Linked DNA regions of Arabidopsis thaliana. The protein of the gene in region 2 interacts with the protein of the main gene of each other region in a pairwise test. Each region holds a gene or a part of one and is shown on either strand. Other genes may lie near its edges.

Evidence for each region.
Region 1: the proteins of ATARD2 (region 2) and AT5G43830 interact in a two-hybrid assay, tested with the Arabidopsis thaliana proteins (2 studies listed by BioGRID).

What each region holds. Positions count from the first base shown.
Region 1 is NC_003076.8:17,621,713-17,626,618, forward strand, and holds AT5G43830 (aluminum induced protein with YGL and LRDR motifs), read right to left. Parts: upstream 2,648-4,906; 5' UTR 2,528-2,647; coding exon 2,325-2,527; intron 1,685-2,324; coding exon 1,444-1,684; intron 1,368-1,443; coding exon 1,247-1,367; intron 1,072-1,246; coding exon 881-1,071; 3' UTR 544-880; downstream 1-543. Other genes in the region: AT5G43822 (Pentatricopeptide repeat (PPR) superfamily protein), read left to right, coding at 1-2, 113-156; HSFA6A (heat shock transcription factor A6A), read right to left, coding at 3,725-4,339, 4,419-4,652.
Region 2 is NC_003075.7:8,424,203-8,428,597, forward strand, and holds ATARD2 (RmlC-like cupins superfamily protein), read right to left. Parts: upstream 2,270-4,395; 5' UTR 2,159-2,269; coding exon of another isoform or gene 2,141-2,158; exon of another isoform or gene 2,074-2,140; 5' UTR 1,973-2,073; coding exon 1,949-1,972; exon of another isoform or gene 1,811-1,948; coding exon 1,699-1,810; intron 1,624-1,698; coding exon 1,529-1,623; intron 1,343-1,528; coding exon 1,228-1,342; intron 1,151-1,227; coding exon 1,026-1,150; intron 946-1,025; coding exon of another isoform or gene 943-945; coding exon 872-942; intron 759-871; coding exon 695-758; 3' UTR 501-694; downstream 1-500. Other genes in the region: ORC1A (origin recognition complex 1), read left to right, coding at 1-463; PPD1 (TIFY domain/Divergent CCT motif family protein), read right to left, coding at 2,882-2,889, 2,973-3,160, 3,226-3,289, 3,481-3,540, 3,907-4,003, 4,092-4,182. UniProt on the Arabidopsis thaliana protein: Catalyzes 2 different reactions between oxygen and the acireductone 1,2-dihydroxy-3-keto-5-methylthiopentene (DHK-MTPene) depending upon the metal bound in the active site.

The DNA.
Region 1 (4,906 bases), on a different chromosome or scaffold from region 2:
AGGTATCACATTGACAAAAAACTCACATTCTTGTTCGACTGTTATTCTTAAATGTAAATCTTTCTAAAGGTCTGAGTCTGATTTTAGCTTCTCTATGATATCCACTGTGCAGTACAACACATTTTCGATGTCATATTCGCGGAAGAGATCAAATGATGTATAAAGAGTGACTGTTTTTGTTCTTAACCTTTATCAAGTGATATTAGCAAGGATTAATGATAGACAATATATTTACTGGTAAAGATCATATGGACGTAACATCAATCACTCGTACTATCAATTTGCTAAACATCTTCATTATAATCAATAGGAAAATGCAAATGCGTTTAAGTTGGTGGTGGCGCCAACAACTGCGATGGCAGCACCAACATCTCAAATGTAAAAATTGTTAAAAATGAACATGATCCTTGCATGGACGATTTCAAACAAAGTTTGTGATAGTTTACCGATAGTTTCTTAATATGGTTTCTCATCTTAACAATCCCTTCCCTTATGATCAATGGTCCGAACCTTCCTTAGCTTACGTGAGAAACTGAATTGAAGCATAACATCAATTTATGTTTTCCACTTTTTCCTTGTGTATAAAAATGGAATAAAAACTTCGCGCAAAAAGCATTTACAAATGATGAAATAAAAACTTATTTATTTATTGATTTAAGAAACGTAAACAGAGAAACAAAAGTCTAGTAGTCTCGTAATTCCAAAGTTTCACAAAACTCGACATCCTTTCCAAATCCCACCTCAAACATGTACATAAACGCGTTTAGAACATTGTGGTTTGAAATTATTTTCTCAATGTAACTCAAACATGTAACGAAAGAGAGGGGACAAGACAAGAGGGAGAAGATGCTGAGCTTGTGATTTGTGTATGATTTCCGGTTTAGATATGACCGGCCCAATTTTGGGAGCTATCGACTCTAGGCATTTTGGTACCCTCTCTCTTAGTCTCAGCGTCAACCTTGAAGGTTGCACCACACACGTCACCTGAGCTGTCCACTCTCGGCACTGGCTTCAACTCGTTCTTTGGGTGCTCAAAGCTCCTCAATCCACCCGACGACGTAAAGAAACAACCTTCAAACACCAAAAAAAAAGCCATATAATCATTTAGTGAACTGCTGCTCTACAACAATCACACAAACAACCAAAGTCTTGGATCAGATTATCAAAATCTTAATACCTATCTTTCTAATAGGTAAATTCTATTTATCTTAAAAAGAGTCAAAAACATTTGGAGTAAAGTTGGTACCTTTAGGGAAAGGACCATAAGATTTGGCGCAACCTTTCTTCACCATCTCGGTGTTATCAGAAAACACAAGGTGCCCTTCAGCATCGGTTCCCCAGAAGAACGGCACACTCCCATCGGCGTCCTGCACATTGACAACAAGTAAATCAAGTTCCGCGACTTAAACATTGAGATCAAGAATGTATAGCTGCTGGACTTACAGCAGCAGCAAAGACAGTTTTCTTGACGCTATCGAAGAGTATAAACGCAAACTTTCCATGGAAATCTCTAACAACTTTGTCCACAGGGTAAGGACCTCGATCACGTAGTGTCCTGTAAGCCTCAATCACAATGATGGCCTCGTTTGTGATTTTGTTCAGTCCATACTGCTGCTTCAGAAACGGTAGGTTCTCAATGTGTCCTTGGAAGAGACAGAAAATATCATCCACCACAGCAAATAATCTGTCAAATTCAATAGAAACCAAATCACATTACCAAATATACAAAATCAAGAGCCACAGATTACTCTAATCCAGTGTAGATCTTTTCAATCATCTTCTATCGATGAAAAATAGAGTTAAATAGACTCTGTAGTTCCGTATTCCTCCAATAGCTCACAATAATATCATCATCATCATCTAATCTACTTTGTAGAACAATAACATTATCATCATCATCTAATCTACTTTGTAGAACAATAACATTATCATCATCATCATCATCTAGTGGAGCTGTAGAATCTCTAATCCCAGATTCTACCAAAAATCACTAGCTACTGTTATCTCATCATCATCTAATGTAGTTTGTAAAATCTACCGTTACTGTTCATCATCATCATCATCAAGCTATAGTACCAACACAAGCAAGCCAAAAACCATAAATCCTAGATCGCAAGCCAAATAAAGTCAATCCAAGTAAATCTGCAGCAAAATAGCGAATATATCCAACATTATCGCAGATCAAATCAAGAAGATTCCAGAAATAAACAAAATCGAAACCGAAAACATCGGAGATTCAAAATCTACTACTTAGAAATCAAAGAAACAACAAAGATTTGACTAGATCAAGCATATAATCAAAGAGAAGAGGACTTGAAATTGACCTAGGAACACGAGGATCAGGATTATCAAGAGAGTAAGCAACAAATCCAGAAGATCCGAAGTTAAGCGTGACGGAGTTGGGATTCACGGAAGCGAAATGAGTAGCGAGAGATCCATCTTTCAACGCGAAAGCAGACTCAGACGAGTGTGGACTCTGTAAAGCTTCAGGGCTATTCGCCACCGTCTTCTCAAACACAGCGAGCATTTTTCTCAGTGATGATTTTCTCGGGAAAATAAAATTTGCAGAAAGAAGAAAAAAATGGAGCAAACGAGAAAATGATGAGGAAAAAAGTGAAGAAAGACCGGGAAGGCTATAAAGGAATCTTGTAGGATATACGTGATTACTATTTTACCCCTACGTTATTGACACGTGTCGTGATTCAAGAGGATAAGAAAGTTTTGGATATTTTTCTTTTTTCTCAATGAGGTTAATAAAAAAGAGTTAATTAGATGGATAATCATATCTTTAAACGGAATCACAATTATCTGATTTTAAACTTTTGATAAGGCAATGTAGATTGTAAAAATAGTAATTTGTTTGGATAAATAGTAACGCAATTTATAGGAATGTTACTAGTAATTTTTGGAATGTAATAACTATTTTTATGATAAAAAGTTTATAAATTTAGTAGACGTGTAAAATAGGACTTAATTACGTAATTACATTCATTGCAAATGCTGGATATTATTGGTAGTGTAATAATATTAAATAGATAAACGATTTTGAAAACATATCTGAAAAGTATCCATTTTATTATCGTTTGTGTAATATTAGGTGCGTTTGATAATGCAGTATTTATTAGAAAGTTGTCGCTTAATTAGAGAAAATTTTCCTAAGATGGAGGAATTAATTTATTTAGTAGTAACGTATAAAAAAGGCTTTATTTGAGGGAAGAATCTAATGGTACAAATGAGGATAAGATTTATAAAAATAAAGTCATGAAAATGACGTGGCGAGTACGTGCACTCGATTATTAATAATTAAAAATAAAATTAAATCGAGGAAAGCCACATGGGTGATCATAAAAGGCAATATCTCTTAAATAAAAGGTCAATCCAACGGTTCGATTCGTCACGCGCTTCGATCGAAACGTATAACTGACTTAAATTAAAATAATTGTATCGTATTTTAGCTACTTTTTAAAATTGACAGCAATAAAATTTGTGTAAAAATGTAAATACTTTATAGTTAGTGCTCAGGAGAAATAAAATGTTGATAGACGTCTTTGAACAATCAATGGAGTGGAAGGTGTGGCCGAATTAGTCAATTTGTTAACAAATGCCAAGGCCAAATATTTTGTTGGGCTTTTAGTTTGGCCCAAATTGTATACAATGCTTGATGACAAACTCGGAAAAAAAAAGCAAAAAAACAAAAAAAAACCTCTCATAATACATTAGTTTATTATATAAAATGTTCCACTAAATCACACATCTCCTCCTCACTCAACACGAAACCCTTCCAAATTCCTTCACTATCCATTTCAATTTCATCCTCCCCTTGTCCTTGATGCTCCATTGAAGCTATGTGAAGCTCATCACCATAATCAAACACACCTCCACATTGATCATCGATGTCATCACCATACTCTTCTGGCTCAGCTTTAACAAACTTTCCATTATCCTCAACACCATGGCTTGAGATCACCTCTTGCTTTTGCTCTCGATTCTTGATTCCTTGCAGATTACGTTTCCTTAAGCTCTGTAAAAAACTCGGTTTCTTAATCTTCTTTAGCAAGAAATTCATCATCATTTCTTGCTTTACTTCTGTGACTTTCAGTTTCTCTTCCATCAAATGCAGATATGTCTTCACGCTTTCTTGTTTTCGTCGCAGTCTAACCAGTTCTACTTCTAAAGCCATTCTGTCTCTTCGCAGCTCATGGATCTCTCCTTCTAGCGACTGCGTTTGCGTTTGAGATGATGTCTTTCTTCTCTTGATGTTCTTAAGAAGATGCCTCTCTCCCTTCAGAAAATGCTCATTTGCAAATTCCCATCTCTCTGTATCAATCTTCTTAAACCCCTACAGATCATTAAACAAAGATTTAATTTTTAATGAAGATCAAAATAACCAAGACAAAAACTCAAAAGTAGTTACGTACATAAGTATTGAGCTGTCTAACAAAGCTGGAGAAATTATTGTGCTTAAAGCATCTAGGGAGGCAAATTAGGGCAAAAGTCTCTGGTTCCCAAACAATGAAGCTGTTGTTGTCTCTGCTCCATGAAACTATGTTGTTTGTGCTTGAATCCTCCACTATGTTGTATGTTTTCGTCAAGAAAGCCGTTGGTGGCGTTTCTTTGAGACCCTCTAATGGAATTGGAAGGTTATAATCCATTTTGTGAACAAAAAACCTATATAAATTTGAGCTTTTTTAATAAAAAAAGAGAGAGGAGAGAATAGTTGTGATGAATAGCTGAAGCTTGAGGATGCTTTTATGCTGTCTATATTTTTGGGGTTTAATATTTTTGGATAGAAATGTATTGCTTTTGAGTGTTTTGGATAAGTCTATTTATTAGTTATCTTTGATGTGGACAAAGCCGATTTGCTATAAATGGAAATGAGAGATCATAGTGTCATACATTCATTGGA
Region 2 (4,395 bases):
CGCGCTTGAGATATGCAGGCGTGCAGCGGAAGTAGCGGATTACCGTCTAAAGAAGAGTAACATATCTGCAAAGAGTCAGCTGGTGATTATGGCAGATGTTGAAGTAGCCATTCAAGAGATGTTTCAGGCACCTCATATTCAAGTTATGAAGAGTGTATCGAAACTGAGTAGGATCTTCTTGACGGCTATGGTTCATGAGCTTTACAAAACAGGAATGGCAGAGACAAGCTTTGACAGAGTAGCAACAACAGTATCGTCTATTTGCTTAACCAATGGTGAAGCTTTTCCCGGTTGGGACATTCTTCTCAAAATCGGTTGTGATCTTGGTGAATGCAGAATCGTTCTTTGTGAACCTGGAGAGAAGCACAGATTGCAGAAGCTGCAGCTTAATTTTCCAAGTGATGATGTTGCTTTTGCATTGAAAGACAATAAGGATCTTCCATGGTTGGCCAATTACTTGTGATTTTTTGCTAGTTTAAGGAAAACTTTGGAGAGATTGATAATGTAACACAGTTTGATTTCTGGAGTATAAACTATAAATACAGTTACAACACAACCATAATGCCAAAGCCACACGAATCAAAGTTTCTTCACAAGTGGATCTGTAGATGACATAATATCCAACATGAGACAGAAAGCTCTCTTTATTGTATGCTTAGTTTATAGAAATCTGATGCATAAGACTGAGAATCCTCTAGGCTGACGCGTCTATGACACCACCTTCATTCACCTTCACGAAATTATCGATGTACTCTTTCCTGTAAAATAGCCGTTTCGATATCCATAAACAGCTTTTCTCGTGTCTTTTCTTGGATGAACTTTTGCAGAGTAAGTTTTTGATGAGACAAAAGGGGAAAACAGAACATTGTACCTTGCAGGGAGGTGGTCGTGTGGGCGATTGTATGGTGTCCAGACCGGTTCACCCACGAAAAGCCGCATTGCCTGCTCAACAAGATATTTCAATTTTCTAATCAACCAAATATATATATGATGAATTAACCACTCTGAAGAAGCTAACATTGCACCTTGATATAGTTGTCTGAGTCTACGGTGAAGCGATGATATATTCCAGCAGGTAAGACTATCATACCTCCCTTCTTTACCCATACTCTAATCCAAGCTTCATTGCGATCCCTCACATCAAAGTAACCTTTTCCCAAGAAAATGAAACGTTGAGAATATAGATACCGACTTAAATCAAGTAAAGCAGCCAATAAAAGTACTTACCGCTTCCTGCAACGCAGTAACGGATCTCTTCATCAGTGTGCAAATGTTCTTCGAAAAAGCTCTTCACTTTCACTTCATAGTTTGGAAGCTTTTCCGGGCATACCTCACAAAAGTCCTGCATTTTGAACACTTTTCCATCATCAAACCAAGACTCAAGCACATAAAACAATTTGCAAATCATCAACGAATTTTCCTAAATACATTCAGTAGAGTAAGTGTTACAATTGAGTAAAACCCTAGAGAGTTAAAACAAGACTTGTTCAAAAGTAAACATCTAGCATTCAAGTCTATATAAACAAACCATGTAAGAGTAACCACGAGATTCGCGGATCTTTTTCAAATCCTCATCGGTTTCATAGTTATCAGCATCAAGTCTCCAGCTAAGTACTCCCAGCTCTGCACACAAACATTACATCTGAAACAAATAGAGAAACAGAGAGAAGAACACTGAATTGAAACACACAAAGAGACCTGCAAGTTTGTCCAAAGATAGAAACTCCTTAGGATCCTTGTGGTGAGGAAGTCTCTGATCCTCTTCGCTATCATCCATATACCATGCCTGGATCACTTCTTCTCTTCCATCCTAAGCAAAAACACACATACACAAACACAACAAGAAAACATAAATTTATGATGCTAAGCTTGAAAGAGAAACAAAAAACGTTCAGCAATTAGTGAAATTTTCGATTGCAACCTCCAAGACAAAGCCTGAATTTCATACACAACAAGTGAAACTAGAAAACATCAAATTTGATGATTAAAATAAAACAAAAATCAAAATTGGAATAGTGATCAGTGATTGAAGACCACTTAATTAACAATCGGCGGCGATTCATGTTTTCATAGCTGAAACAAGAAATTTTCCGATGAGCTTTCACGAAATCAGAATCAGAAGCAAGAGATTTACGATTACCTTAACCACTTCACCCATGGTTGTTTGTTCCTCTTCTTCTTCGTCTTCTTCGTTAGGCTTTTTATGATTCCTCTTCGTCTTCAAATCCACGCGATATATGCCTTCTCTCCTTTTCAAAAGAAGTCATTTTCGTTTTATCTTTTGGGACAAAAACAGAGAAAAAGGTTAAAAGACTAAACTACCCTCCATCCGCCGGCGTGCGGCGAGGGAAATGCCGCCTCCACATATATCCGTTTCAGACTATTTATCACATTTTTGAGGTTTGAGAAAATGTAAATACGTTAGTTAGAGTGGTAATTATTGTAAAAAAGTTAACAAAGTTAAAAGTTAAAAACTGGGTTAAAAATGGACAAAAGAAGAGAAGTTTGGTGGTGTCAAAGTAAGACTCGAGTCGAGAGTAAGAAACACTTTGGCTAAAAGGTCTCTCTCGTTAAAAGTGTCAAGTAAGACATCATTTACACATTACAACACCTAGAAAATGAAAGCCCTTCTTTCACCTCTCTTGTCTCTACTCTCTGTGACTATATCCTCACAAAAAGAATCAGAAACAAGAAATTACCACTAACCTACTAAGCTCTACTCAAAACTATAGACCAAAAATTATGGGTGCAAAACCCCGGAAACACAAAAGAAGGCCGATCCGAAGAGAGGTTTCTTTTCTTCATATCTTTGAGCTTACAAGCAAGCAACTGTTTCAACGCCTATTCACAGCTTATAGCATCTCCACGTTTCGGTATCTTGTTAAATGCCTGGAGACCAAGCGAGGAGAGTTATGAGGGAAATCATCCAAACCACTGATTTAACAAAGCTTTATATATGATTCTCTTCTTACCTTCACTGTTTAGATCAACTGAAAGATTGGGACTTTTTGTCTGGCTTTCAGGTGACTGGCTATGCAGTGGAGATCCGGTGCAGCCTAGGTTTTGCGAATATGCAGCTTTCATCCGTGGCTGACAATTCAGAAACATCTCCAAGCTAGAGGACGCAACTCCTGGACACTTTTTGGCCTTTGAGAATTTTCTGCACATTACGAAAACATATCAGTTTATAGCGATTTTGGAATAAGCGTAAGTATATAAATGCACCTGTCTTTCCGCTTTTCACGATATCTTTGCAAAGATACCTTTCTGTTCGCCTGGCCCTCCATACCTTAAGAACGACCCAAAAAACATAGAACGACGGTTAGATTAATAAACTTCACAGGTCATATAACATGCAGAACAACAAGCAAGCCAAGTTTCCTCCAAGTTAACAACATTAGCATAGCTTTGCACAGGTGAAGATGTGTTGATCAAGTTTCGCTCCGAGAATCATTAAGGTAATATGAATACTGTTCATACCAGAATCACGAGAAGAATTCGCCTTCTCAAGGCCTTTTTGGGGAAGTTCCATCATCTTCTCTGCAATAAGATTTCACATTTTCAATTTGATTTTTGACTAATTCAAACTAGACTCTGAAGAAGGAAAGTGGAATCACTATCACAAAAACATGCAAGAGGCATTTGGATATTTTACGCAAGGTAGTATAGCACAATGCAACATTTAGACATACTTCCTTGGTCAACTACCCATGCCTCCTTTCAAAGTTGGACAAAACAAAAGCAGTGTTTGCAAGAAGAGAAAATAAATAAAAAAGCTCTACTGCGTCAGAAAAGCTGGTCCATGAACTTTTTCCAGTTTGATGATACACAAAACAAAATCATTTCATGTTTGAATCATCTATCTATCAACTGAAAAACAGATCAGACACTTTAGCAAAAGCTTACCTTTACTTATGAGCTTTGAAATCATTCTACTGGAAGCAAAAATACCGTTTTCAGGCAAATCAATTGGATTGGCTGCAAAGTGCATGATTGACCGGGCCTGCAAACCAATACAAAGGATGAATGATCAAAAACATGCCAACAAAATTTCTATTTTCAGACTGGACAGAATAATGTTATTGATTTACCTTTTCAGGTGGTATTCCATCATACACATTCACTTTTCCACTATAGAATATCGTCATTTGCCCAACGAGCTCACTTGTTTCAGCTGGGCTTCTGATGCAAGATTACAGACAAGAATGTTTAATATGCTTGTAGAACAACAGGCACATGCAGCAAAACCTTTTCTTAAGCTTTCGTAGATGGACTAGGGAAAAAACCCTCTAACTTACAAAATATCATTAAGGAATTCAAGTAACTAATTATTATTTCAAGTCACATCAGTCATATTGACTATTATTTTCCATTTCTAAAGAGATCCAGGATACT